Diceros bicornis minor: one gene and its partners. The protein of the gene in region 3 purifies or fractionates together with the protein of the main gene of each other region. This does not show direct contact. Links are inferred from orthologs where the notes say so. Each region holds a gene or a part of one and is shown on either strand. Other genes may lie near its edges. The genes, in order: CBX3, SIRT6, CHD4 and TOP2A.

Region 1 (7,521 bases), on a different chromosome or scaffold from region 3:
CTATGGCACTCAAGCTAATTTCAAGGGCTCATTTGTTTCTTTTCAAAAGAAAATTCATTCACTTTACCATTTAAATTATAGCACACATCTCACAACACTATTTTAAAATGAAAAGTCAAATAAAAACTTTTAAAGTTGTCAATATGTGATCCCCTACAAAAGAATATTTAAATACCAGTAAGTTACAGACATTGAAAACTATCAAATTATATGCAAAAGCAACTTAATTTTAATGGAATCATCTATTTGCTTGCTTTCTGTATCTATACTCATCCTCAAAGCCTCATGAACAGCTAGTTCCCTTCCCCACCAATACTTGAACACAGGTGTTCATAAAATCAATTTATTATCTCTACTTTCCTTTACTGATTATGGAATTTGAAGGACACTTCCATCCTGAGGGGGCACAGAACATGCTAAGAGCTTTTCCCACTGATGGCTTTGATGGAACCATTTGTGCCACAGAGACTCACCACATAGGCTTTATAGTTGTTTTTGTTTCCCAGGAAATTTGACTTAAATGGGCAAACCTATGATGGCACAAATTAAAATCACCAACTTGCCCTTTTAATTGTGAAACCCAACAGACAATACAAACTAAAACCAAATGTTTTGCTTTATTTAGATATTAACACTCACCTTTATATGCTTTCGATTATTATTAACGCAGTGTTAGAATTAAATACTGTGGGAACCGTAACTGAATTTCGTGTTTTTTTTAAACTTCTAACTTGACATGGCTTTTACACATTTGCAGAACTTGTAATGAAGCCTGAGAATGCAAACTTTGGATTTAAGAAACTGCTAGAGACCAAAAATTGCTTGAAAGATCGAGTCTTTTCTCCTTCCTGGACATACATGATTGTGTTCATTTTGTGTATTACCAGAACACTGCAATTATTTAATTTTAAGGCCCGTCTGACTTTAGAATAAGCAAGTCTGAAATATGACAACGTGATGAAAGTAATTTGGAAGATTCACTTTCTGCCCCAATCTAAGTGTACAAGGTGCCTGTTTTTGACACTGGGCAATACTGAAAATACTTGCTTTCTCTAGAATTCAGTACAGTGATTTAGAAAATATTATGCCAATCAACAAGACTTTACTGCTTTCTCTATGCTTGTAACATATTCTTTCATGTTACATAAATTTGTGCATTTGTATTTCAAGATAAAAATACTCATTAAAATTCACATTGCGCTATCCTCCCAAGATTAGGTTTCTTTCAATGAATTAAAACACTATCCAGGCAAGTCAGTAAATATCTCAATGTAACGACTTCGTTTTGGCCCCTAATTCTCCCCATAACAACACTGGGGAGAGAAGGGACTGGGGAATACATATAGATGTAAATTTCTGAACCACAGAGACGCAAAGTTATAATTTTTGGGGAAAAAATTTTGAGTTAGATCCTTACATATTTCAGGTTTTCATTAACTTACCAATGTAGTTTTATTGGAGGCCATTTTTTATTGCAGACTTGAAGAGCTATTACTAGAAAAACGCATGACAGTTAAAAGGAAGTTTGCACGACACAAAAAAGGTAGCTAAATACAAGTTTTGTTTGGATTCCAACCCCCACCTATGTAGCCCATATTATCAAACATGTATACAAATCCATACAAAAGCAGATTTAAGCTCCTGCGTAAATTATTAGAGAGAATATGCCTGAGAATATATCAGTGTTCTAACAGCGAGTCTAGAAAACCTTACTGAGGTCATTGGGACTTGAAACAGCTTCGCTGGCCGAAAAACAGTAGACAAATATGTTTTTTCAATTCAAATGCCATTTATACATATTCAGTATTCTTTACAAAATGGCCAAATATTTTGGTTCAAAATCGGACAATTTCCTAAACTACCGTGAATTTTTCGTCGAGACCTCTTAACAGTCCAAAGAGTCGCCTATGTAATCCCAACTTGGTTTCTTCTTAGAAACCCTCCCTCTTCCCAATCACTAGTTAAAACACTAAAAGAAAAACACACTGAGATGCTTCAGGCCCATTTCGTGCCACTTTTGAAAACAAGTCACCTCTTCGGTACGTCCATATGCTCCCAAGCCCCAGGCCCCACCCTGCTGAATGCGGCCTAAACGCCGGGCGCCCGCCCCCCACCCGGGAGCGCGGGCCTCGTGGTCAGCGCATCCGCGGGGAGAAACAAAGGCCGCGCGCGGGGGCTCAAGGGCACTGCGCCACGAGGCTCGCGCCTCGCCCCCGGCGGCGGCCACATAACGGAGCGCCCGCCGCAGCCTCCAGGAAGCTGGCCGCGCGGATGCGGGAGAATGCACCGCCCTCCCTGGAGGCCCCAGTCGCCGGCCAAGCCCGGGAGGGGGAGGAGGGCCCCTCATCGTGATCCGGGATGGGGGAGGGGAGAGGAAAATGCGCTTTGTCTAGAAATAAGGCGACTGTCGCCACGACTCTCCACCTTCTCGGGGACAGTCTCGTCCCCCACTTAACTACAGGCGTCGGCGCAGCGCCAGGCCCGCCGCGGGGTCTCCGCTCGCCTCTCCGCTCCTTCCCACCAGCTCCCGACTCGGGGTCGGACGGGAAGCAGGGGCCAGGGGGTGGGGAGCTGGGGCGCATGTGGTATGTTAAGCGCCACCACCGAGTGAGAACTAGAGAGAAAGAAAGACACCGACTTCACCGCCTCCGAGCTGCTCCGCGTCCCGGGTCTGCAGCGTCTCCGGCCCTGCGCGCCTCCAGCTCCAGCCACATCCGAGGGGGAGGGGGCTGGGGAGCAGCGCGCGGGGCGGCCGCCGGGGGGGGGGGAGGGTGGCACCGCCCACGCCGGGCGGCCGCCAGGGGCGGGGCAGGGGGCGCGCGCCCGGCGGGGGGGAGGGGCCGCGCGGCGCCGCGCCCGCCGGGAGCCCGGGCCCAGGGGGCGGGGGGGAGAGCGGTGGCGACAGCGGCACTTACCGTTCGCGGCGTGGCGCCTGGTGGTCCCCGGAGGGGAGGAAGAGGGAAGGAGGGGCGAGGACGCTGTCCAGAGTCCTCTCGGCGGAGGCGTTTTTGCTTCGCAGCAGCAGCCGCTGGCGCCAAAACCGGACTCCGCCCACTTCCTCGCCCCTGGGGGTGCGTGCCTCCAAACGTTGGGGGTGAGAGGATGAAGATAAATTTGGGTGGGGGGAATCGGACACTGAGAAAGAGTGCCCCTTTCGGACCACCCTCTGCAAAGACCTTTTCTGAACCCGAGGGGTCAGTCCCAAAGACGTCGGCCAGGGTTAGGTTGGTGGAGGGTGAAGTGTAATTTGTTGACTACAGTCGCTTCGGGTGTTTCCGGAAGGGGCCGAGTCAGTCCTCGGCGCAGGGGAAGGGGGTGGGGGAGGGAAAACGCAGGGGGGAGGCTACAAAGATTTTTAAGGCGGGAGAACGGGGGCGAGGGGGGGCGGATTATCAACGGCGTTGCTGCAGGGACCACCTCCTGGGCTGAGGGGGCTGGACCTGAGAGCTGCGGATTAAGCTCCTCCCGGCAGCGTTCATTTCAAACTGCGCGACCGTTTCTTACCTGCCCTGCGCTAAGGCGGGGGCTGGACCCAATTCGGAGAGAGAGAAATACGCAGGACTCGCGCCTTCCGCAATTCACTGAGCCCATTTACGCAAGTGACGTCAAGCACCACCGCTGGCCGCAAGGGGGGGAGGAGTACGTACTTGGCGTAAGGAGGAGGTAGAGCGTTCCCGCCATTGGCGGCGGTTAGGGCGTTTACGCAACGGCCTGACGTAGGGGAAGACGCGTTAGTCGGGGGGAAGGTTCTAGAAAAGCGGCGGCAGCGGCTCTAGCGGCAGTAGCAGCAACGCCGGGTCTTGTGCGGAGGTGCTCTTAGCGGTGTTGTTTCTCGAGCAGCGGCAGTTCTCACTACAGCGCCAGGACGAGTCCGGTCCGTGTTCGTCCGCGGAGATCTCTCTCATCTCGCTCGGCTGCGGGAAATCGGGCTGAAGCGACTGAGTCCGCGATGGAGGTAACGGGTTTGAAATCAATGAGTTATTGGAAAGGGCATGGCGAGGCCGTTGGCGCCTCGGTGGAAGTCGGCCCCCCCGCCTCCGACGGAGAGCGGCAGTGAAATCGGGCCACTTAAGAAGCGGTTGGTCGCAGGATATTTTCGAAGAGGGCTGTTAGCGGAGGCCTGATTGTACAGCACCTTCCCCACCCTCAGCCTCCCGGCGCCATTTCCCTTTGCTGGGGGTGGGGGATGGGGAACTTCCACATGGCGGACGCGGCCCGCGGTAGTGAAAGCGGAGCGCCGAGGCGGCAATTCTTACTCCCCTCGTGAAGCACGCCGATTGGGGGGCCCCGGCGGCCCCCGTTTGAGCGTTTCGGCGAGTTTCGGGTCCGCGTGAGCGAGGCTGCGGAGCTTCCCCTCCCCCTCTCTCCCGGGAACCGGATTTGGCGGCCGCCATTTTCATTTCTCTCCTTCCTCGCAGCATTTTTCTTTTCGACCTCTGAATTCTGCTAGTTTGATTCTTTTACCGAAGAAGAGAAGTGGTTAACTAATTTTCTTTCTTCTTGGGCTGTTTTCATGCCGTTTCGAGGTGGATTCCGAGGGTTTTGTGAGCTTGGATCTTTAAAGTCCTGCGCACCTCGTTAGAGGCTCCCTCCCTTCCCCTCGATGAAATGGCGCCATTGCGTCCAGAAGCCGCAGCGAGCAGCGGGCGGGGGGGTTCCTCCGGGGCCCGGGCGCGCGGCGTCCGAGGAGGTAAAGCGAGCGAGGGTGGGGGGCCGGTTTCAAGCGAGCCATCGTACAAAGAAGACATTTTGTTTTCCAGTCCTGTTTCTTTGAGTAACGGTTTTGTTTGGGCCTGCAGTGATGAAAAAGACAGTTGAATCGCAGGAAACTTGAGAAATAAGTCAGAATTTGGAACCGTCAGATTACTACCGACTGCGTGGGTGGCAGCGGGGAAGGAGGTGGGGGGGACTTTTTCCTGAAGGATTCCCTTAGAATGGTAGAATTTATTCCTTTTTTAAATACTATTTTTTCTGGGAAATGTGATCTTTACTGGATAAGACTACGGATCCTTGTAAATGATGTTAGAAATTTTGAGGAGAGTGAAGAAAAAAATTGAGTTTATTCTTAGTGGTACTTCGGTTAAAACATGGCTCAGTCCTTCAGTGCGTGTATTGCTGTATACAGAACTGTGTTAGGCTAGGCCGCTCTGTATTTGAACTTTGTCACTTTTCTCATTTATGTTTGCAATCGTGGTTGATCATTACATTGATAAGCATAAGGTCTCAAGCGAAGGGGGTCTACCTGAGTATTTTCTTTGACCCTAAGCACGCTTAAAAAATAACTTTGTTTGTAATCGATAGTGGACATCGGGTAAGTTTGGAAAAAGCAGAGGTAAGTAATGAGTTTTTGCCTTTTGTTGGTGATGTGTAAAAATTGTTGTAGATGTGCTTTTTAAAATTTCCGTAATTTGGGTTTTAAAAGACGTGTTTACTGACAGTATTTGGTGTAAAGTGAAGAATCCAAATATCAATATGCCGTATAATTAACCATTTTGGTAGTTTTAAGTAAACATCTCGGGAGCTAGTTTAATAGTTTGTTAATCTTTTAAAATTTTTCAGAATCCTGAAAATAGTTAACTATGTAGGAAGAAAATCTGTAAATTGTTTCTTATCGCTGTATTTTTTGAGCTGTTGGGAGAATATCATGCGTTGAAGGAGAAACCTCCATAGAACTGTGGGTTGAGAGCTGTAATGCTATTTGCTGGGAATAAGTTATCGCCTGTTGTATTGAAAATTATATTTTACATTTTAATTTGTATTATACACTTACAGCAGATTGTCCTGGACGTTATGATTTATTGGGTTTCTGAATATTTTTAATTTTTTAACCTAGTCACCTGGAAATTATAATGATGCATTCTTTAACTGAGAGTCCCAAATACAGGGCTATTAATGCAACATAATTGCTTGCTGGTTTATAGGGATTAAAAAATTTCAGCCTAGCCTTTTTTCTTTTTTATTTGTGAAATTAGATGTAACTTGTGTAGTTTGCCAGGTGGCCACTAAGTTAAATACACTTGAGGTTTCGGGTTTTTTGGTAAATGAATTGAAGTGTAAATGATAGTTAAATATGTAACTACTGAATAGTCACAGTGGTCATTTAAACGTTTTTGTGGTTTTTGGGAGAAAATGATTACATTCATTGTATTTATGGTTATTGGTCCAATAATCGGATTGTTTCTGTACTGTCATTTAAATAACCAAACATGGGGGTGCCCACAAAAAGTCAGTTATGTTAAAACTTGAAGCTTTAGACACCAACGGTCATTAAAAAAGTCTGCCTTGGTCAGAAGAGAGGTAAATTTTAAGGATGTTTTGGAGCATATACTGAAGGTTTGAATTTTTTTCCCTAATCGAGAGTTGGTGTATGGGAAAGAATGATCTTTACCAGGGGGTTTTTTTTTTTTTGATGAGATGCATTAGAATCACCACCAGAGGGAGCAATGAGGGGAAAATGTCACTTTTCAGATATACTGAATCCAGAAGTAAATGGTAAACTATGAGTTATAAGTAAGGAACCAACAGTTTTTATGTTTAAAAAAAAGATTTCAACTGAGCTTTTAAAAGTTAACTTTAACTTCTCTGTGGGATATAGGATTGAATGCTAATTTTGATGAGAATCCTTTAACCCTTCAATGACCAGGGAGTAGATTTGCTTCTTTCTCTTCAGAAAGTATTTTTAAAAATAAGTGATAATAAATTTGTTTGAAATAATTTAATGTCAAGTAAATTTAGATCAAGCATTAATGACTTTGAAACTTGTGTAGTTCAGCTGAGGCAATTTTTTTGGTGTAACACAACTAATATGCAGTTTAACATATGGTTTAAATTTGATGTAAGTTTTTTTTTTCCCCCCCAGAAAACTTTAGAAACTGTTCCTTTGGAGAGGAAAAAGGTACTCTGCCAGCAGGTCACCTCATATTTAAGAATTTAATTTCCTGCATACAAAGAGAAAATGTAAATAAAAATTGAAATGGTGTTTTCCTTTGCAGAGAGAAAAGGAACAGTTCCGTAAACTCTTTATTGGTGGCTTGAGCTTTGAAACCACAGAAGAAAGTTTGAGGAACTACTATGAGCAATGGGGAAAACTTACAGATTGTGTGGTACGTTAAATGTAAAAGTGCCTACAGATAGTAGTCCTTCAGCTGTTGAGCTTCTGTTTTTAAAATGTTAAGTGAGTTGTGGAAAAAATCACTTAAATCAGCCATCAATTCGTACTGCTAGTTCATAACACAAGTAATGAGATCAAATGCTAACGTTTCCCCTTTGGTCGTATAGGTAATGAGAGATCCTGCAAGCAAAAGATCAAGAGGATTTGGTTTTGTAACTTTTTCATCTATGGCTGAGGTTGATGCTGCCATGGCTGCAAGACCTCATTCAATTGATGGGAGAGTGGTTGAGCCCAAACGTGCTGTTGCAAGAGAGGTGAGCAAAATATAATTTCTTTGTGCAATAAATGTGAAGAAAATTCTGTCCCACTGAAAATTAGAATGTAGTTTTTGGAAGAACTAACTAGATGCT
Region 2 (7,340 bases), on a different chromosome or scaffold from region 3:
ATCCCATTCCCTCTCCTCGCTTTTTTGGTCTCCACGGCACAAAATATGCCTTTTCACTTATTTATCTTGCCCATCTCTCCCACTCGCTATCAGCTCCACAAGGGCAGAGGTTTGTCTGCCCTACTCACTGCTCATTCCTCTGTGCCCAGAACAGCGCCTGATACAAATATTTGCTAACTCGAAAGCAAGAGATCCGGGTCCTGGAGAAAGTGGGCCCTTAGAAAAGCAAGCGGTCACTGTAGCTGGGGAGAGCAGAGATCTTCCGGAAGAAGTGTTGTTGGAGCTGAATTGGGAGGAAGACGGGGGCGGGGGGTGGTTTGAGGGGCAGCAAAGCGGGGAGAGGGCGTTCCAGGTGGAGGAAACAGCCTGGGCAAAGCTTTGGTGGTGCGAGAGCTTGAAGAGGAAGCAGTGGGAAGACCAGGGCAGCAGGGGGCGGTAGAGACGAAAGGATGAGGATGTGGCCAGAGGCTAAAGGCTTCAACTTGAACCTGTGGGTGGCGAGGAACCGTCGAAGGGACAACGGCTCGAAGGCCCCAGTGGATCTTCAGCCAGGCCCTGGGAGATGGGAGCCTGAAGTTAGGGGACACTGGGCATCTCGGTGGCCTCAGACTCACCTCTGTCTTCTTAAATCGTGCCCGGAGAGTCTTCATGGCCAGCGTCCGGCGTTTCTCCTCTCCCCAGGCCACCTGGGGAAGGGCAGGGGGTGAGGGGTATCAGTCCTGGTGGGCAGGAGGGTTGGCTGCCTCCCCCTCCTCAGAAGGATCGCTGCTTCTTCCCTGGGTCATTCCAGCCGCTAGAGCAGGACACAGACCTGCCCCCATCTCCTAACTGCTGTGTGTCCTTCGGCAGGTCACTTGCCCTCTCTGAGCTTCACTTCCCTCATCCTTAAAATGAGGGAGATAACCCCCTCTTGACCAACTCATGATCAGTTTTCAGTGAAGTCCCTAGCATAGAGCCTGACAAACAGTACGTGCTCAATAAGTGCACCTCACTAGTATTCCTTGGTGCCCAAGCAGATCAAGGTTTTTCTGGTCTCCGAGCTTTTATCTGTGCAGTTATTTCTGCTTTTTTTTTTTTGTCTTCTTCTTCTCTGGTGAACTCCTATTTATCCTTCACAGCCCGGTTCCAAAATCCCATTTTCTGATCAGCTTTGCCTGTCATGCACAGGCTGAGCTCTAACTCCGCAAATTGGGTTCCCCCAGCCCCGGATGGGTCCCTTCTTCTGCCCCAGCCCCAGCTTCATAGGCTGGAAGCGTCTGGGCTGGTTCTGTCTTCCAGAACAGTGAGGGGCTCCTGGGGGGCCAGGCCCAGAGCTGAGGCCTCTTAGCACAAAGGCATGTTTCTTGGGGAATTGGAGAACAACATCCTCGCAGCTGAGTCCCCTTACATGAGGCTGGCGTCTGCATGAGTGAGAGCATGGAGGCAAGGCACCCAAGGGGGGTGGAGGTCTGGGGTGATGGCTGTGTGCATGTATGCACACATGCCAGCATGAGGGGTGTGTGTGCACCCACATCTGTCCACCTTGGCCTGTTACATGTTCCGTGCATGTGCGGGTATGGAGATCAGGCAGGGATATCTCAAGGGGATGTTTTGCTAGGTGTGTGGCTAGAGAGTCTTTCCTGTTCTGAGCGGGATTTCTGTGAAGGTGTGTCCATCATCTGTCCATCTGCACATGAATTCCCCAAGCCATCCTTCCACCTGTCTACCCACGCATCCACTCATCTGTGCATCCATCCTCCTGTACAAGCACTTGCACATCCCCGCTGGCCACCACCCACCAGCTCACCCACTCAACTCAGCTTCTCATGGCTCTTCATGCACCTTCAACCATGCTTCATCCACCATCTACCCACCATCCACCCTCTACCCACCCATCCATCCAATATCCACCCACCATCCACTCACCATCCACCCACCCATCCACCCACCCAATATCCACCCACCATCCACTCACCATCCACCCACTCACCCATCCACCCAATACCCACCCACCACCCACTCACCATCCACCCCCCATCCATCCATCCACCCAATATCCACCCACCATCCACCCACCCATCCATCCACCCAATATCCACCCACCATCCACTCACCATCCACCCCCCATCCATCCATCCAACATCCACCCACCATCCACCCTCTACCCATCCATCCATCCACCCAACATCCACCCACCATCCACCCTCCATCCATCCACCCAATATCCACCCACCATCCACCCTCTACCCATCCATCCATCCACCCAACATCCACCCACCATCCATCCAATATCCACCCACCATCCACCCTCTACCCATCCATCCATCCATCCAGTATCCACCCACCACCCACTCACCATCCACCCTCCATCCATCCATCCAATATCCACCCACCATCCACTCACCATCCACCCCCATCCATCCACCCAATATCCACCCACCATCCACCCAATATCCACCCACCATCCACTCACCATCTACCCCCCATCCATCCACCCAATATCCACTCACCATCCACTCACCATCCACACACCCATCCATCCATCCAGTATCCACCCACCCATCCACCTGCCCATCTATCCATCCATCCAATATCCACCCACCTACTCACCCATGCATCCTTCATCCGCTACCCACAGACCCATCTACTTACCATCCACCCACCCATTCATCCACCCGCCCTCTCATCACCCATCCACTCTTGCGTCTCCCTACCCATCCATCGACTGCCCATCCATTCATTCACCCCTCCACCAAAGTACCCATTCACTCACCACCCACCCCATCTTTTTTCTTTACCCCTGTTTAAAAGACTCAATCACACCCAGAGCAGTGTGTAATAAGACACCCAAGAGAGGAGTCCACAGGTTGCCTGGGCAAAAGGGAATCCACGGGCTTGAGGGAAGGGAGGATGCCCTCATCTGGGGGGCTGCTTCCTGGAAGAGATGATGATCTACAAGCAGGGCCTGACAGCCAGGCAGGATATTTCACGGCAGCAGCAGGAAAAGAGGCTATGTCCCCTAGACAGGGCCAAGGCCGGGAAGCGGGAGGCGCGTGCATGAACCAGTGTGTGTGCGCTCGCGCGAACCCAGGTGCCTGGGTGACTCCTCAGCGTGTCTGGGACACACACGGCCTCTCCTTTCTCCCACACACCAAGGCTCAGGGGCGAGGAGCCCGAGGCCCTAAGGGGAGCCTCCAGCCCAGGCCTCCCTCACCTCCCTCCTCGCCTACCTCCTGCAGCTCCAGTGACTCCGGCACCAGGCCACCGTGCCACTGCCAGCTCTGGTTACTCGCTCCCAGCTGGGCTACCGGCTCACATCAGCAGCTCGGAGCGCTCAGCTCTGACACCCGATCGGCTCTGAGAGGGCGGCCGCCCCAGGGGACCAGGGATGAGCTGAGGGAGGAGACAGGCTGGCAGCGGAGCTGCCTGTGCCAACGGGCTCTGGCGGGAAGACACCAACCTTCTTCCCTAACATCGCTGGACCGATTTCAGTTTCTGGAATGAGCCACGCTCTTCCTCCCCTCCCAGCCTTTGCACCTGCTGTTCCCTCCACCAGGAGCACTCTTTCTGTACCCCGGTTCACCCCCAACCGGCTCTTTCTCCTCATTTCACTCCTACTCACTCTTCAGATCTTTGCTGCAACGTCCCCTCCTCCAGGAAGCCTTCCCGGATGTCCCCAGGCTGGGTCAAGTGCCCCCTCTGAGCTCCCTCATTGCCCGGTGCCCTCTGTGTCCCTCATTGCAGCCCGATCACACTAAGTCACCATTGCGCGGTCACCTGTTCATGTCCACCCTCTAGCCACAAAGCGACACCTTTGTTCTCCGGTGTCTCCCCAGCACACAGTAGGTGTTCAGTACGTGTTTCTTAAATGAGTCAAGTGGAGATGACCATCCGTCTGGATAATATGAGGTCCCAAATTCCTGCCCGCTCCCCACCCCGGCGCAGATACCCTGCATTTGTAACTTTATAAACTTCTGAAATGTGCAGCGGAAAGAACTTTGGACCGGAAGCACGAGTCCTGGGTCCCTTCTCCCTGGCTCTGTCCTCAAGAAGAGGCAGGAGGGGGGCATCAGTTTACCCATTTGTAAAACAAGGGATCGGGGGCACCGATTGCCGTGCCCCTCATCTTAGAGGTGATCAGAGAACTCCCACTTGGGCGGCCGCCCCAGTTTCCCGCCTTCTGCAAGCGCAGATAAGGAGGCAAGCTTCTTTTGCCAGCAGTTAAGATGGCGCCTGCGGCGTCATCGCGACGCGCATGCGCCCTGAAGGGAGAGGCCGGGCACGTAGGACGGGGATGCGGCTCCCCCTCTCTCCTCCCCGTCCCGCCCCGTTTCCGGCGGAAGCGGCCTCAACAAGGGAAACTTTATTGTTCCCGTTGGGGCGGCAAGGATGTCGGTGAATTACGCGGCGGGGCTGTCGCCTTACGCGGACAAGGGCAAGTGCGGCCTTCCCGAGGTGAGCGCGGCGGGGGGTCCGGAAGGCCGCCCCCAGGGCCGCGGGCTGGGCGGGGCCGGGCGGCAGCGGGGCATTGTGGGAATATCAGGAGGCACTGAGGCTAGACCATGGGAGGGACTTCCCAGTGAGGAGGGGGCGGGAAGTGACGCCCCCTGCGCGCCCGGGGCCGCGGACACGCCCAGCTCCGGGTGGGCCGGGCTGGGACAGAGGGAAAGACCCGCGTCGGGGAAGTCCTGAAGTTCTGATGGGGGAGCAGGGGACGTAGGTGCGGGCGGAAGGCACTGCAGAGGGCAGAGGCAGGGAGGTGGGAATAAACACATTTTGGAGAAAAGATTACACCAGAGAGGTTTCCAGAGCCAGGCCAGGACGGGCCTCAAATGCCAGGCTGGGGAGATGACCCTGTCCCGAGGGTGATGGGGAAGGGTTTTGAGCTGGGGAGGGACCTGGAGGATGTAAGTCAGAAAGACCCCTCCAGCCACTCCCAGAGGAAGTCCCTTCCATACACTGAGACCTCGGGTGAGTCACTTCCCCTTCTGTAAACTGGGGGGAAGATGCCCCCGTCCCATAAAGGCTGGTCCGTTCATTCCCAGTCAGACATTGAATGAGCTCTCAGACAGTGCGAATCCCTCCTGAAGCCCCACTCTTCTCTCCTGCCGCTTATTCACTTTATTCCACAAACATTTATTGAGCACCGACTGTGCACCGTGCAGTGTCTAGGCCCTGGGGCCACAGCAGGGAACAAGACAGACAGAAACCTCTCATTCTAGCAGGGACACCCACAAGGAACAAGGAAATATCGGAAGTCAGAGGGTGGGAAGTGCTAGGGAGTGAAGCTGGGAGTGAGGAGGAGAGGGCTTGCTGCATGGAAACCAGGTGGTCTGGGAGGCATCGTGGAGTTGACTTTTATTTTCCCAATTTTTTTTATTGTGGTAAAATACACATAACGTGAAATTTACCATCTTCACCATTTTTAAGTGTCCATTTCAGTGGCATGAAGCACATTCACATGGTTGTACAACCATCCCCCCCGTCCGTCTCCAGAACCTTCCGTCTTCCCACACTTAAACTCTGTCCCATGAAACACTGACTCCCCTCCCCTCCCCCAGCCCCTGGCCCCACCATCCACTTTCTGTCTCTGTGGCTGTGACTCCTCTAGGGGCCTCCTGTGAGGGGATCACACAGTGTCTGTCCTTCTGTGTCTGGCTCATGTCACTGAGTGTCATGTCCTCAGGGTCCACCCATGTTGTAGCAGGTGTCAGAACCTCCTTCCTTTTCAAGGCTGAGTGATATTCCAGTGTGTGGATGGCTTCCATTGTGTTTATCCATTCATCTGTCGATGGACACTTAGTTTGCTTCCACGTTTTAGCTATTGTGAATAATGCTGCTATGAACATGGCTGTGCAAATGAGATGACTTTTGAGCCAAGACCTAAAGAAGGTGAGGGAGGGAGTCTAGTGGGTATCTGAGGGGAAAGAGGGTTCTGGGCAGAGGGAACAGCCCATGCAAAGGCCCTGGGGCAGGACCATGCCTGGCGTGTTGGAGGAACAGTGAGGAGGCCCGTGTGGCTGGAGCAGAGGGAGAGAGGAGGGGGGAGGATAGGTCGTGCAGGGCCTGGGGGGCCACAGGGAGGACGTGGGCTTCTGCCTCGAGGGAGGTGGGAGCCCTGGAGGGCTGTGGGCAGAGGAGGGACACATGTCAAGCTGCCTTTTCGGATGCATTCTCCTCCCCCTGGGCAAGGCAGGGGCAGCTCGGTCTGTGGCAAGGGGTCCTGCCACCATGGAACACGTTTGGACCCCTCCCTTCTGCTCTCCCCGACGGCAGATCTTCGACCCCCCTGAGGAGCTGGAGCGGAAGGTGTGGGAGCTGGCGAAGCTGGTCTGGCAGTCCTCCAATGTGGTGTTCCACACGGGCGCGGGCATCAGCACCGCCTCTGGCATCCCTGACTTCAGGTCTGTGGGCATGGAGGGGAAGTCGAGGCAGGGCCCGCTGCACAGCCAAGGGCTCCCCTGTGAGCTACAGATCCCTGGGCATTGGAACCCACCCTGCTGCCTCCCCCTGTCTGAGTCCTGAGTGAGCCCCCTGGCAAGTTGGGGATGGGAAAGACCCCTCTCTTTCAGACATGTCCCTTTAAGTCACACCCAACATTCCATGCACACCCATTGGCTGGAACTTGGTCACCTGACCATACCTAGCTGCAAGGGATGCTGGGAAATGTAGTCTTTCTTCTAGGCTCGCTGTGCATGGGTAAATATTGAGGGTTTATGACCCTCGAAGATGGGGAAAATCGACATCAGGGACAATGAGCTCCACACTCACTTGCAAATATTTTTCTGTCAGACCTGGGGTCTGGCAAGTGGCTTAACTGTCTGGACCTCAGTTTCCTCACCTGTAAATGAGGACGTGAGACTAGGTAATGTCTAAACCCCACTCTGCTTCAGCAGCCTGTGTCAGATAAGGGTCTTGTTGCTGCAAAGCAGGGGTCTCAAACTGCCGGCCCCTGCGCGGCCCCTGTAGGGGCTGAGTTTGCAACCCTGTCTCATAATGCAGGCCTATTGCATTTGTACTCTCTTCCAAGGCCCCTCAGGCCCCCGGCCCAGACCATCGCAGCAGGAGAGCAGATTCCTCGTTCGTGGAGGAATGTTAGAATTCTAAGGTGTGAATCTCACCCCCCTCTCCCATAACCCGCCACGGCTCCCCATTGCCACATAGGAGAGCTCCAAGCAGCTCGGGCTGGCAATGGAAGCCTTAAGTGACCCAGCCCTGGATTTCCCCAAACTTGCATTTCCCCAAACTCACAGGCTGTCGCCCGCCCCCCAGGCCTCTGCTCACCCCTTGTGTCTGAACTGCCCCGCTCCTCCCTCGAACAATTCAAGAGACAGCTCGGCCTCCTCCAGGAAGCCGTCCCA
Region 3 (7,201 bases):
CTTGACAAAGCACCGTCAGCTTCCCCCCCACTCAGCCTAGGATCAGGCAGGGCACAAGAAAGCCCCTCCCATTCCCTTGGGAATGAACACCAGCCTGGATCTCACCAGCAAGAATCATTTTCTTAAGGGCTTCTCCCCAGCAATCCCCATGTCGCTCCCCCCAGTCAGCTACATCTCTTGGTTCTTCCTCTTCATCACCTCCATAAAAGCTGGAAGTGGAGACAAAGACAAATACATGGAGGCAAAGGGGACACCCTTCCATCCATATAACACCCCCAAACTTTTCAGGCAGATAATGTGCTCACCTGGCAAGTGGCAAACTGACTGAGGTATAGAGAAAGATTTGGGAAAGGGACAGGAATGGGGTGTGGCAGGTGGAAAAACTGGGTCACGCTACAGCTTGGGGCAGAGTTCACCCTGGGAGCCTGCACAGCTCCCAGTCAACACAGGGGCAGCCCCAGACCAAGGCGCCAATGGGAAGCCAAGATGTGGACCCAACATTGCCTGGACAGCAGTACTACTTCTCATGCTCCCCAGAGAAAAGATAGGATCACACCACCACTACCACCCCACCCCCACCTCAGGCCACAGCACAGAAATTGGCCACCTTGCCCCACAAAAAGATGAGAATCAAGCCTAAATTTCTTATCGAAAGAGTTGAAGACTGAGTAACAAGACTGACCCCTTTCCTAAGTAGCCTTAGATTGAAGTAAAGTCTTCTGACTCAGAAAACGCCAAATGTGGAAACATCTCTCCTAGATCAACTCAACTTGCCATTGGAGCTAAGGAGAGAGGAGCCAGAAGTGAAAGATGTTGGATGGGAAACAAAAGCAGGACCAGCAGGCTCCAGAATGAAAAAAAATATATAAGCAGAGAGGATGAAGAAATGGCATGTAGAAAAAATGAAGCTAGGAAAAAGTGTCAAGAAAACAAGTAGGTGACTTAGCCAGGGGCTCTGAGGAAGGACAGACAGACCAGAGCGAGACATCCACTTAGAAGCATGACATCAATCATCATTTGAGAACAGACAAGGGCTATTCCTATCAGGCAGGGTGTTATAACCATCTGGGTTTGGCCAGTCTAAGGAGCCACCCCAAAACACAGACAGCAAAACCCCCAACACACCTACACAACCACATCACACCACCAGGCCAAACCACAGGCTACCTGCACAGAGGCAGAAGCCTCTAGGAAAGAAAGCCAGGATTACATCCACTTGTTAGGGGAGGAGAGGTGCCAAGGGTGTCACCTGCCTGCCTTTGCCCCTCCTAGTCTATCCTTCAGGCTACTACATCCTACCCCTAGCCCCCAACATTTTCCCACTCAAAACATTCCAGCAATCTGCCTGGCTAAAAGCGCTCTAGATGCCAGCTGAGGAGCGCAATTCAAACTACACACAGTTGAAAAGGCACAGAAAACCAGTAACCGATCAGAAGCTAAAAATAATCAGATAGAGAGTAACCAGCACTCCCTCTTTCCTTTCCACAGCAGCAACCACAGGATGCTACTAGCACCGATGCCTGGCTGGCCTCCTCAAACCCCACCACCAACAACCATCACACAGCCTCCAGGGGTCCCAGATACCTGCATTTCTCCAAGGACCCACACAAGGTAATGCGTGCCAGCCCAGAGAGCTCCCTCAACTGGGAACTGCATAGGATTCCTTAAGACACACAGTGCAGCAAGCTTGCATCCCGATCTGCGGAGCTCAGGAGGCACATGGCTTCCACCCCCCACCCCCTCAAGAGCTCCGCAAAGGCAACCACTCCCTTCGGATGCCCTCCACCTTAGAATGCACAGAGAGAGAGAAACCCTACCTCACCAGAGTACTAGGGAGGGCCCAAATACCTCCTTCCTGTCCTGGGCCCCTGGGGAAGATGTTACCTGGGTGGGGTGGGGGCAGGCTGTTGTTCAAAAGTGCATCCATATCCTCCTCCTCACTGCCCGCCGAGCAGGGGGACGGGGAGCCCAGGCCCGACGCCATCCCCTTCCGCTCCCGGCCAGGGAATTGGCCCAGCTGCTCCTGCCTGCGGCCTGGGGCCCTCTACACTGGCCCGAGTCACTGCGCGGGGGAGGGGGGAAGAAAGAGAGAACAGTCAGTGACGCGCACTGTCCCCCTCCCCCATACCCCCCGCTCTTTCCGCCCACCACCACCCCGCCCCCCCCCCTCCGAGTAGGGCACCCGGGCCACTCAGGCTGAACTTAGTTCCACACTCCTCGGGGGCAGCCCGGAAGCCGGCTCCCCAGCTGGAGCCCCCAGATGAGCAAGAGCGACACCCCCGAGGGCAGGCTGGTGCAGGCAGGGGGCAGGAGAGAAGCCAGGCTGGACTGAGCAGGGTGTGACGGGGGGAGGGGGTCCGAGTGGCCGCAGCGCAGGGGTAGCCGGGGGAGGCGGCAGGCGGCGAGGCGCTCGGGGACACAAGGTCACTTGGGGGTGGGGGGGCGCCTCCGTTCGCCTGGGGAGGGGCCAGTCCCCAGACAGCGCAGCTCTCCAAAGGCTGTCCTCTGGGACAACTCAGGTTCTCCTGAGAAGCCGCGGGGACGAGGGGGCGTGGAGGCTCGGGCGCTCCGGGGGGCTGGAGGCAGGGACGCGGGGGGCGAGAGAGCTCCCACCAGGCAGGGGGCCGGGCCACGTGTCCCGGGGGGCAAGTGAGCAAAGGGCGAGGGGGCGGGCGCCGGGCACTGTGGGAGCCCGAGCCGAGGTGGGAGTCGCGGGGAGCCAGACTCCGGGTTAGGGCGGGGGCGGGGGGAGGGGGCGCCCTGCAGGGAAGGGAAGGATCGGCTCCTGCGGGCAGGGGGCGGTCCGTGGGTCGAGGGACGCCTGAGGAAGGGGTAGGTGGAGGGATGACCCTCGGGACTGGTCGGGCTGAGAGGGGCGTCTCTTTGGGAACCCCGCGCTCTCCTCACCCCGGAGCCGCCGCAGGTCGCGCTGGGTCCGGCCCGGTGTCACTCCCGCTCCGGCTCCTTCTCGCCGCGGCCGAAGGGGGGAAAATGGCTCCGGCTCCGGCGTCGCTTCTTAAAGGGCCCGAAACACCGGCCGGGAAATCCCACCGCACAGGCCCCGCCCCCCCACGGACAGCCCATAATAACCTCAACCAACTTCAACCCCCCCCTCCACTACCGCCACCCTCCTCCCTAGGTCTCCCGGGCAACCCCCGCCCCCTCGTCGCTCAGGCAACCATTGGCCACGCCCCCTTCGAGCGCGCGCGCGCGCGTCACCCGGGCAACCACCCACCTCCTGGCCATCCCATAATACACACGGACACCCCCTACACACTCCATACACAAGTATGCCAAGGCTGTTGACATCTCATAATATTGCAGACCTTTTGCAACTAACTCTTCCCCCCCCAGACATCCCATAATAGCCATCCTTTGCCAACTTCTTCACTCTTGGCCCCAATGCTAACATCCCATAATAATCCGTCACCTCTCCCTCCCCATGGCCATCCCATAATAAGCACCCCTCCCAGCACTTCGGCCTCACATCCCATAATACTCATCCCCATCCCCCATAGACATCCCATAATAACCACTCTTCATCCACCCCCAGTTTGATATCCCATAATAGTCAGAAACTCACCCCCCCACACACACACACACAACGACGGACACTTCGGCCTCCTCCCACACACATCCCGTAATAATCAGTCTCCCACTTTCTATACTGACATCCCATAGTAACCAACCCCCTGGAGCTGCCCTCAGCCCCTGCAGGCTAGGGTCTAGATGCTCACACCACCACCCTCAGCCTTCACACACTCATTCTAGCTCCACAGCCCATGATAACCACTCCTCCCCTATCAAAGAGATATCCCATAATGATCGGCAGCCCTACTGTGACCCTAGATGGACATCTAATCAACTTTCCTCTAACGCTGGAAAGATATCCAGTAATTTTACTCCCCCACCCACACCCTGACATCCCATAATAATTGCAGGGAGCCCATGATCAACCAGACATACCATAATACTCTCAGCACAACCCAGTGTTACATCCCATAATGCTTCATCTCCACTCCACCACCCTTATACCTTTCCAGCCAGGCATCCCATAATATTCATATTCATATCTCCCCCATCTCCAGATGCTGTCAGTCTATTCTAACTGACAGTGTGAAGCAGGCTACCCACACTGCCCTGTCCTTGCCCCAACTTGTACACACCTTCATCCCTTAGTGGGCCAAAGCAGTATCTTGGCATAAAGCCTCTTGATGTCTAGGATGGACCCTTGCTTCCCTCATCCCATCATTTCCAGAGACTTAGGAACTGAGAGTCAACCTTGGGCCCCACCCAATCCTGCCAAAGTCCAGATATTCTCCAGATGCTTACCTCCAGCTCTTAAATTTTAAGTAAGACCAACCAAATACCATGCTGGCCAGATGAGCCACTTACATCAAGTTTACTTCATCCCAGAACATCCCATAATAATTACAAACTCCCATCTAAAGACTATTTCTCAACATTCCAGCAGTCCTCTTTCCACCCACCCCCTCCTCCCCAGGTCAGGTGGTCCTTTCATCAGTACCCCTAGGCCACTCCCATGGATGGACATCCCATCATGATAGGAACTGAGGATCTTGCTATATACACACTAAGAGCCAAGACCTGCCCTCCCTCTTCTTTGCTACTCATGGTCATTCAACAGATGTTGACAGAGTACCTAGCAAGGCACAGAGCTGGGCACCATAGGGAATGCAAGCACCATAGGTACCTCCCTTCAAGAAGCATAAACAACCAAACCAACCATGAGATAGAATGTCTGGTGTCAAGGAAGAATAACTGAGTGCTATTTCCCAATTTTCTGTTATAGAGAATAAAACAAATCCCAACTGGTCTCAGGAGAGATCAGATCCCAGTAGAGGTTCTTGGTGGTTCTTCCAGAGGCTGGAAGGTATTCCAAAAGGATTTACAAGATAGATGGATGGTCAAGATAATCCCCTATCTGTTCCCTACATACTAAGGGATTTTGATCGGAAAGCAATGTTCATCCAGCGTTTCTAATACTTAAATCCTATAGTATCATCATGTGCTTCCTTCTTGAGACTCACCAACATGCCAGAATTGTTATCCTCATTCTTAAACACCAAATTCTGCTTACCCTCAATGTTCTATATTTTTCTCCCACTTTGTTATTCCTGAAGTCTCATGATAATTCCAACTGCCCCCATCCTCATCTTGCTGAGGCACCACTCTACAACGCCCAAAAAACCCTTCATTGTATAATGTTCACCATCTTCCCCTCCCCATGTACAAGTCAACATTCCAGGATGTCTTCTTCATTCAATTATGCCACAAGGTAGCCTCTCAACATATACCATCCCCTTCCCTAACTGCGCCTACCCTGCAGCCGCCCTGGGGACCCAGCCTCAGAAAGTCAGAGAGCCCAATCTTCAAACCTTTTGGCCCTCAGAGAACCTGAGTCCATAAGCCTGACATTTTTCCCTCTTCCTGACCCCCAAAGAAACAGGACCTGAGTGAAAACCAATGTTCCAACACCGCCGCCTTTCTGCATCCTCCCCCACACACAGCCCCCAAGCCAGAGATAATGTCTTCCTCTGCTCTCATGTGCCTTTTCCACACAAGTCCAAGACCTATGGCGTTGGGACAGGTTGAGGAGAAACCAGAACTTCCTCCTAGGAGGGGCCCTTCCCGACCAGAAGTGAGTAGGACGAACCTCACACCATCTCTACATTGCCCTCCTAATCTCACTTCCCTAGAGAAAGAGCCTGGCCAGATGATTCTCCCCTCCTCTGGGAACCAAAGGACTGGAGAACTGGCAAGGAGAAATGAGTTCAGGAAAGACAAGAGTTTGCTTCAGGAAATCACCATCCCTTTGCTTCCAAGCAGAGCACCAGTGATGCTGATAAGTCTTTCCACCAGCTCCTACCTGACTTAATTCCCTAGACCACCCTTTTGCCACATCCATTGTGGCATGCAGGCCACTTCCCCCAGTAAATTCTCTTGACATAAAATCGGTCCCCATTCACTTGTGCAAACCCTCCCCCATGCTTATTCTGAGTACTAAGAATGAACTTTGTGCTCCTCACTTGGGGCAGAGGGGGCAGCTCTTTTAAGATACCACGATGTGGGTATATCTCATTTCAAGAAGCTTCTCTTTGGTATATAGAGCTGCCAGATACCTATTACACCCTTCTCTCTCCCCATTTCTTTAGGGGATCCAGCCTGCCTCTGGGCCTCATATTCCCTTCTATAATATCTCCATCTGCCCCATAGCCTTCTCTTCTCATATATATACACCACATTACTACACTGATTCATGATATAAACCAGGAAGAGAGTTTTAAAACTGGGTAGTCACAGCCTATTGCCTGTGATTACAAACACTGGTAACTTCTGTCCACCCCAGCCCTCTGCCCTATCCCTGCAAGTTCTACCCACTCACTCCCTTGCTCCTCTTATCCCCCTCCTCTCCCTGATACCATCACAGGGAGAAGGTTAAAGTCCTTTCCTCTCTTCTTGAGTTCCAGAGAGGGCTAGCATCTGTGTGTTTGTGTGTTGCTTTTGTGGTCTTTATGCTTCTAGGCTCCCCCTCCCTACCCTGGCCCCATACTACTCTCCCAGATCAATTATAAATAAACCACTAGCATGATTGGTCCACAGAGACTAAGGGTGGGATAATCTCCTGATTAATGCACCCAGGGGGACAACCTCTCTAGCCAGTTACCTTAGAGTTCTGTTTCCATCCCATGGTACAGAAGAACCTAGAATAACACTCAGAGTGGTTTGTCCAGGGAGTTTTCAGCACGTGCTCTATAGTTCCTCTGTCTCCATCTCCAGTCTGTGTGAGCCCCAGAAACTCTGCTCATAGGATGTCTAAGGACCAGCATTCTCTTGCTCTGTCAGAAAAGGGGGTTTGGGAAGACAACCTAGAGCAGAAAAGCCACCGTGACAGTGCACTCTGATGGCTAAACAGGATGCAGGTCATACAGGGCTTGTGGAGTGACCAGACAGGCCTTTGTCCTTCAGGAGCCAACCAAATCTCAGTTCCTTCGGTGTGACTATAAGGTGGCAAAACTCCCCAGGCCCAAGCCCGCCACCAGAGCCATGGTACCAAGGCTCAAATCCAAGAAGGTGAAGAGGGAAGAGAGTATTTGGGTGCTGTGATCACCCAGAAGCCCTGCTCCCTTTGGTGTGCACACAGCCAAAACCCAGGTGTTCTCACTGCCAGCCCAACACT
Region 4 (7,605 bases), on a different chromosome or scaffold from region 3:
CCCACTCCTGAAATAGGAGCCAAAAGGAGAAAAACTTAAACGTTTTCCAACATCTGGGTAGACACTGATAATGTTGAAAAAATATGAAGTTTTAAAATGTTGGGATAAACAAAGGGAAATGATTTATGCCCAATGGAAAGAAAAGGACAAAATTTGGAAACAATATTATTATACCGCTTTTAGGAGGATCATCTGTACTGTCCTGGCTCCCCTAGCTTTTCCATCCTACAAAGCACATTGCAAAACAAATATGAAAGGGAAAAACATTATCAACTGTAACCTTCCCTGCTTGCCAATAAAATGCTAAACATTTACTTGGACTTATTCATCTCTTATTTTAAGTTAATTTTCAGAAGATAATATATAAAATGGTTCTTATTCTAAGTAGTACTTAGTATTATCTATAAAAAAGACTAAAACTAGCTCATTATTTTTTAAGACAATGATATCGAGTCCTTAAGAGCATTTAAGTACATCATTAACACCTACATTTCCCAAAAAAAGCCTTAAGTATAGTTTATGTTATAATTGATCAGGCCAATAAAAAGGTGAAACAAGGATGCTGACCACGCACAAAAGGACACCCAATATTTATAAGCTGAAACATTAGATCAAATTATTCTGTCACCACCTGCTGGTTTACTATTTGAATAGCATCAGGAGAAAAAGATCTAGACCCCAGAATACTTACAGCAATTATTGGAGATGCTTACTGAAGTATTTAGGGATGATGTGGGATAATGTCTGTAATATATTTTTAAATGCTTCAGAAAAAATATAGATGGGGCAAATATAGCAGAGTGTTGATAACTGTTGAAACTAGGTGGTAGGTATCGTAGATTGTCCATTTTAGCATTTAGCCTTTCTGTGCTTTTGCAAACTTTCATTTAAAAAAAGCCAACCTCGGGCCGGCCCCGTGGCTTAGCGGTTAAGTGCGCGCGCTCCGCTGCTGGCGGCCTGGGTTCAGATCCCGGGCGCGCACTGACGCACCGCTTCTCCGGCCATGCTGAGGCCGTGTCCCACATACAGCAACTGGAAGGATGTGCAGCTATGACATACAACTATCTACTGGGGCTTTGGGGGGCGGGGGGAATAAATAAATAAATAAAATAAAAAATAAAATTAAAAAAGCCAACCTCATTAAAAATCAAGTAAATGCAACTAACAGTAACAATGAGCTATAACAAACAAAAGACCAAGAGACTTACGGGTCAATCGTGACTCTAATACAAGACATTTTTGGGTCCCTTTGTTTGTTGTCTGCAGCATTGACTGAAAGAAAATAAAATACACATTTGTAAGAAATTAAAGTATTTAAAAAAACATTCTTTAACTCTAAGATATAGAAAGAAGAATCTCAAATAGCACAGGAGTAGCATTAATGAGGTGTTAATTCAGCAATTTTTATTCAGAGTACTGTTCTTAGAACAGAATTCAACTTCCTAGACTTCAGTAGACTGTCTCACCTTTGCCAACTATTGTTTGAAATAACAGAAGGTCTGGCTACAGTAAGGAATATTTTTTATGAAGGATTTGACTGGTAGATCTTTATACGAAAGAATCTACTCACCTAGAATCTCATCAAAGATTTTGTATAATCCAGGAACAAAAGTGACTTCCCTATAGTTAATGCCAACATCTTCATCGTAAACCCACATTTGCTAGAAATAAGGCAAAGAAATATAGTCATTTTTACCCTATGTTTATTGTTTTATCATCATGATTACTATAAAGTGTTCTGGGGTAAATACTACAATATATATATGATAGCTTAGGCCAGTTCCAGTGACACTCAAAGTACATGAAGTGTAGAAAATTAACCTGGCAAAGTATACATTTTAACTACTTACTAACTGCATGTCATTAGCTTGGTTTTACCTGGGTCACTAATTCCACAGAGCCAATGTAGGTGTCTGGGCGGAGCAAAATATGTTCCAACTGCGTTTTCTTTTGATAGATTCTTTCAACGGACAGTCTTTTCTTAGCATCTTCATTTTTCTTTGTTTTGTTGATTTGCATATTTTCATTTACGGGCTAGCAATTAAAAAAAATTGAAGAAAAGAGATTTTTAATCATAGGTTTATCAGAAACTATAAACGAAACGTCTACCGTAATGATATGCTTGCACACACTACAACAAATTGCAATCTGTCAGTAGGTATTGGCGACGTTTACATTGTTTTGTGCAAACACGGCCTTTTAAGGTAACTGCAGCCAGGTCCCCAGGTGGCAGTTTGAATAGACACATATGATCTCACCAAGTGTATTTGACATGGAAATATTTTCCTCGGAACTTTTTATTTATCAATAAAATACACCCACTTCTTTCACCTGTGCCACAAATATTTACTAAGTGCCTCCCACGTCCCAGGCACTAACAGATTCCAGTTCAGCAGCCGTTTGGGAGGCTATCGATTCAATCCTCTGGCCAAGTTAACGTTTTGAACACTGGAAGGACATATTTTGAGCAACTCGGGCCTGCCGGCTCCTTAAGGGGAATATTGTGCCGTGCTCTGCACCCTCCAAGGTCAGAGACATTCAACGCCCTATTCAAGCGGAGGGTAGGAGAGGAAAGCATTGGTATGCGCAGCTTCAAGTCACACGCGGTCCATTGTAATTCAGATCTACTAGAGGACCAAGTGAATCCTGTCCTTAAAAACAGTAACACAAGACACAACGCCCTAGGGGCCCGTTTAGCCGCTAATGCTTCAACATTAGCACCATAAGGGGGTTTCACTTTCCTCACGATCACGCCGAGCCCGGGAGACCACGGTCGACACGGAATACCGGCTCCCAGCCCACCGCGGCCTGGCCACAGCCCAGGAGCCTCACCCCTCACCGGCAGCCAGAGATACCGCTCCACGACCCGCCTCTTCCGCGAGCTGTACCTGCAGTGGTGACACCTCCATGGTGACGGTCGGGAAGGGGCTCGAGAACCCTGCAAGAGACTAAACCGGCGGGACGCACGAGACGACCCCGGAGCCAGCGGCTTCTCCACAGACGCGCGTCGGTTAGGCGAGCTCCTGCAGTCCCATTTGAACCATCCTCCTGCCCGCCCAAACCAGATAAGCCAATCCCTGACTCGGTCTCACCGGTTCCGTCCCGAAGAACCAATCGTAGCTAGTCTTTTATATCTACCAATGAACGGCTGAGTTGGCCCAGTCGAATGAACCAATTAGGCAGGGGAGGCGGGACTAGGAGGTTTCAAAAGACACCACTCGGAGTCAATTGCTGAGAGACCGACAGGGAATCTGGCCAATGAGGAGGGCTCGTTTGTTCTCTCAGAGCAGAAAACTCTGAAGAGACAAACTGTGGAAGCGGGAAGGGGTTTTCTGAGGTGCAGGCTGGGGTGAAAAGAGGAAGGAGACGGATGTTTATTCCCCAGGAGCTGCTAACTTGTTTCAGATCCCTGAAATCTAAACGCCGTCCTCCGGCCTGAGGTTTTTAGTGAGAGGAACGGGAGCGCTATCTCCATTTTCCTGAGGAAACCGAGCGCCGGCTTCCTGGCGATTTGGTTAAGCGAACAGGATCTGACCTTTTCCTCAACCTCCCCTCCCCCCCAAGAATTTAGCGTGTTTTTAGAGAAACAAAAGTGCTACAGTTGTGGTTTTTAGTTTTCGTATAAAGAAGGGTGTAGAGAGGCCGCGCAAAATAGAGAGCAGCATTCAAGTCCCCCAGTAGAGGGGCGTTGGGCTGCAACTGCTCAATTAAAAGGAATAATTTATAGTCACCGCCTCAGGAGCTAAGGATGGTTTAGCGGCCGTTCTAGGACTGGAACTTTCCCCTCAGACTGCCAATAGGATGCCCTACCATGCGTTACTTTTGCTCTCCTCTGTGTTCAAGTCCCTGAATTCTGCGGTCCAGAACAGCGGTTGAGATTTGACGAGGAAATGCCAAAGACCGAAGTTTTTTATTACTCTGACGTGTAAATTTCGAGGGGGGTTATTCTGTCCTCGTCAATCCACAGTGTTCAAATGACCCCCCCCCCAAAAAAAAAACACGCTCTTACAAGATGCTGGAAAAAATAACCGCATAATTTGACCATCTGAACCACCTCCTTCCAATCACTATTCCGTGAGTTTTAATCCTGGCCTGGCATTTTGCCAGCCGTGTGATCTTGACGGAGGCAGCTTCTTGGTGCTTTCCTTTCTTCTGCTAAAAAAAGGAAATAAAAATAACAGTATCACCTCAGAGTTGCGTGAGGATTACACAAGATACATGTAAGACATTTAGAATAGTGGGCTAACAGTATCAGAATCAGGAAGCAGGGATTTTTCCTTAGGTTACCGTGACAATTTGTGGACTTAATTCTTTTTTTTTCTTCTCAAAGAAATCAGGGCCGGCCCCGGTGGCCTAGTGGTTAAGTTCTGCACCCTCCGCTTCTGTGGTCCAGGTTTGGTTCCTGGACGTGGACACACACCACTTGTCTGTTAGAAGCCGTGCTGTGGCGGCAGCTCACATAAAAAAGGAAAAAAAAGGGAAAGATTGGCAGCAGATGTTAGCTCAGGGCAAATCTTCCTCAGCAATAAATAAATAAATAAATAAAAGAAATCAGAGGTCAACCAATTACTGAATCACTCCAGCATGTTCAATGCCCACTCTGCTGGCAGAGCCCCAGGGAGGGCCAGGGCAGAGGTGGTGTGTTGTGACAGGTAGTCAAGGATGGAAGTAGCCCACTGGCTAGGGTAATTGGGAAAACCAAAGGAATGGAGCTTTGGCATTGCTCTGGTCCCTGTCCTCTGGTTCTCCTGGCCTCCAGTAATTCCTGAGTGTCTTCAGCTCCACTCTGCTCATCACATGTGTTGATAGGGGAAGGCAGTCTCAATGCACAGGACCACCAGGGTCTCAGAGCAGCTGTAGGGAAGCCCATCCAGTAGCGTCTGCCCATCAGAAGGCTGACCAGGCCCTGGGCTCCAGGGCCAGCCTGTCACTCTCTGCAGCTTTCCCAGGACAGAGGATGACCCTGATAGTCAGAGACCAGCTGTGCTGCCTTCTACCTCCTGGAACACAGAGGCCCCAGGTGGTAGGGGAGGGTGGGCCTGCTTCCCCAAGGATGGCAGTCCAGCCTCTGCCTCCCTTGGCTTCCCACCCTATAGCTCATCCCAGCCTGCAGCACCCTGCGAGATCTGTCTGGGGATGAGGCAACAGGAATTTAATAAGCAGCACCAGCCCTATTTCCTGGGACCCAGCTTGAAATCTCCCCTGCAGTTTAGCCTGATCCTGACTGTGTGGGTCTCTGTTCCAAAAACCCAGAAGCAGAACTGTGGAGTCAAAAGGACTTTGAGTCACATATGTCTAAGTCAGAAATCTCCCTGAGCTTCAGTTTCCCCATGTCATTAGCCTTTATCAAAGGTATAGAGGGCTAAATGAAATATGGAAGCACCCAGAACAATCTTCCAGACCTCTAGCACAGAATGTCCTTGGTGTGTGTATGTGTGTGGGATGATTGGAGGGCCCTTCTCTTGTGGGGGAACACAAGCTATTTCTCTGTCAGCCTCTCCTCCTTTCCAGAGCCTATCACAGGGAGTCCTGCAGGACTTGTAGGGGGCCACTGAAGGAAGTCTGGGATGGGCGGACCTGGGAGGCATTGTCTACAAAGAGGGAATTCCAGGTGACTGCCATTTGCTAGTGCTGGAAGGCAAGAAGGGGTCGGGAGTCAGTTCCAGGGGCTGTGGTGGGGAGAAGGGGCAGCCATCATCCTCGTTATCCCCGGCCCCTCCCACTTTCCGCCAACTCTGCAGGGGCCCAAACTAGCTACTCTGGACCTTGTCCCCATCCCTGCCCCCACTCGTAGGGGCCAAGTTCAGTAGTACTTGGGTCAGACTCTTGACTACAATACTTGGTAAATGTATGACCCTGGGCAAGTCACTGAGTCTTTCCGTGCCTTCATTTCTTCATCTAAAATGAGGATAATGAGTACCTCCACACAGGGTGAGATAACACATGTAAAGTGCTTAGTGCATTGCTTGGCGAGTTGTAAGTGCTCAAAACATGTTAGCAGTTATTACCTCTACTTTTCAAGACCTTCCTCCCACTCCCCTGTCAATTCTCCAAGTTCTTTCCTCCAAAACCGACTCAAAATTCCCCTGTCCAGGGAGTCTTCTCAGACCATCTTTTTTACTGAGGCCCCCTCAAGTCCTTCGGAGTATATTTGCATACGCAGATGAGTTCCTTTGATAAATGTTGTGTTTCCTGTCTCTCCACTCTGTGTCAGGGGAAGGGGGGTCCTGAAGGAATTGTGTCTCCATCTTCCACCTGGGAGCTCCCTTTGAAAGGGCAGTGTTTCTTCCCTCCTGCGGGCTGACTGAGCAAAGGCGGCTGGGCTGAAAGTGTGGCTCTGGATTTGGGGGATGGAGCTGGCTAGGCTGGAACTCACTGGAAATTCCTGAATGAGGCTGGGCCAGCGCCAGGGTACTGGGGTGGTTAGGGCTCTGCCAATAGGCCCTGTTTACCTTGAGGTTAATGACTGGCAGGGTCTGATCAGTCCTCTTTACTAGGGATACCAGCCTCTGGTTGGAGGAGGCCAAGAAAACCCAAAATGTCCCATAGAGCTCAGCCTCTCTCTGCTAGTGGCATTGCAGGTCTGCTCCTCAGATCACTAGTGGCCCCAGGTAAAGGGACATTGAGGGCCACCAGACAGAGCTAGGAGGAGAGCAAGGGAAGTTCTAGCAGGGATCAGCTCAGGACCAGGGATTTGTCCCCAACAAGTCCAATCAGGTGTTTCCCTCAGCAGTCTGGCAGTCCAGTATCTATCAAAATTTTAAAAGTGTACACACTTTTTGACTCAGCAATTTAACTTATAGGAATATTGATACACTCCCACAATTGTGTAAAGATATATATATACACACACACAAGGTTATTTATTGCAATATTGTTTTTTATTAGAAAAGAACTGGCAGCAATCTAATGGAATGGAAAGACATGCAGCTATTAAAGAGAATGAAGTTGATCTAGATATACTGATATGGAAATATCACTAAGATATATTGTTAAGTTTAAAAAAAGTGAGGTGAAGAATAGAATGTAGAGCATAATTGCATTAGAGTAAATGTTTATGTATTCAGTGAAAACATCTGGAAGGAATTGTAAATAGTTGGAGGAGGAGGAAAACTTTTCATATTTTCTCTTCTATTTGAAAAATTTAACATTATAGACATGTAGTATTTTTATAATGTAAAAAGTTAGCTTAAATATACAAAATTTAAAAAATTTCTCTCAGTAATTGTGGGTCTTGATAATTCTCTGTGTCCACTACCTTTTGCCAATATGTGACTTTCTAAGTGTCGGTTTTCATCCATACCCTATACTCTTCTCACCTGTGTCCCTTTTCCCCACCTCACTGAAGGCAAGGCATACCTGTCTGCACAAGTTTGTGTGAGACTATGTTTTGTAGCTAGAGATAGATTTTCAATAAAATGGGGGAACTGGCAGTTTAAGTGAACCCAATGGTGAGGACTCTAGAAAAACTCCAAACTGAGGGACAGTGTGTTGTGGTGGGAAGTCCTAGCCCAGCTCTGTAGCCACTATTTGCATGACTTTAGATAAATCTCCTCCTCTCTCTGGGTCTCGGTTTCCTCACCTCTAAACTGAAGTCTAGGCAGC

Evidence for each region.
Region 1: the proteins of CHD4 (region 3) and CBX3 purify together in Homo sapiens (affinity purification with mass spectrometry; 6 studies listed by BioGRID and IntAct, with this or other methods). This does not show direct contact. The link is inferred for Diceros bicornis minor from reciprocal best matches to the Homo sapiens genes CHD4 and CBX3.
Region 2: the proteins of CHD4 (region 3) and SIRT6 purify together in Homo sapiens (affinity purification with mass spectrometry; 3 studies listed by BioGRID, with this or other methods). This does not show direct contact. The link is inferred for Diceros bicornis minor from reciprocal best matches to the Homo sapiens genes CHD4 and SIRT6.
Region 4: the proteins of CHD4 (region 3) and TOP2A purify together in Homo sapiens (affinity purification with mass spectrometry; 3 studies listed by BioGRID and IntAct, with this or other methods). This does not show direct contact. The link is inferred for Diceros bicornis minor from reciprocal best matches to the Homo sapiens genes CHD4 and TOP2A.

What each region holds. Positions count from the first base shown.
Region 1 is NC_080742.1:51,188,070-51,195,590, reverse strand, and holds the start of CBX3 (chromobox protein homolog 3), read right to left. Parts: upstream 3,020-7,521; 5' UTR 2,916-3,019; intron 2,733-2,915; exon of another isoform or gene 2,639-2,732; intron 1,495-2,638; 5' UTR 1,467-1,494; coding exon 1,443-1,466; intron 1-1,442. Other genes in the region: HNRNPA2B1 (heterogeneous nuclear ribonucleoproteins A2/B1), read left to right, coding at 3,950-3,955, 6,860-6,895, 6,993-7,103, 7,279-7,425.
Region 2 is NW_026691553.1:3,179,581-3,186,920, reverse strand, and holds the start of SIRT6 (NAD-dependent protein deacylase sirtuin-6), read left to right. Parts: upstream 1-4,327; 5' UTR 4,328-4,368; coding exon 4,369-4,434; intron 4,435-4,605; exon of another isoform or gene 4,606-4,950; intron 4,951-5,800; exon of another isoform or gene 5,801-5,871; intron 5,872-6,255; coding exon 6,256-6,383; intron 6,384-7,340. UniProt on the Homo sapiens protein: NAD-dependent protein deacetylase, deacylase and mono-ADP-ribosyltransferase that plays an essential role in DNA damage repair, telomere maintenance, metabolic homeostasis, inflammation, tumorigenesis and aging.
Region 3 is NC_080756.1:55,090,247-55,097,447, reverse strand, and holds the start of CHD4 (chromodomain-helicase-DNA-binding protein 4), read right to left. Parts: upstream 3,008-7,201; 5' UTR 2,908-3,007; intron 2,063-2,907; 5' UTR 1,985-2,062; coding exon 1,885-1,984; intron 1-1,884. UniProt on the Homo sapiens protein: ATP-dependent chromatin-remodeling factor that binds and distorts nucleosomal DNA. Acts as a component of the histone deacetylase NuRD complex which participates in the remodeling of chromatin.
Region 4 is NC_080757.1:39,912,630-39,920,234, forward strand, and holds the start of TOP2A (DNA topoisomerase 2-alpha), read right to left. Parts: upstream 3,006-7,605; 5' UTR 2,910-3,005; coding exon 2,889-2,909; intron 2,035-2,888; coding exon 1,879-2,034; intron 1,662-1,878; coding exon 1,571-1,661; intron 1,273-1,570; coding exon 1,209-1,272; intron 1-1,208. UniProt on the Homo sapiens protein: Key decatenating enzyme that alters DNA topology by binding to two double-stranded DNA molecules, generating a double-stranded break in one of the strands, passing the intact strand through the broken strand, and religating the broken strand.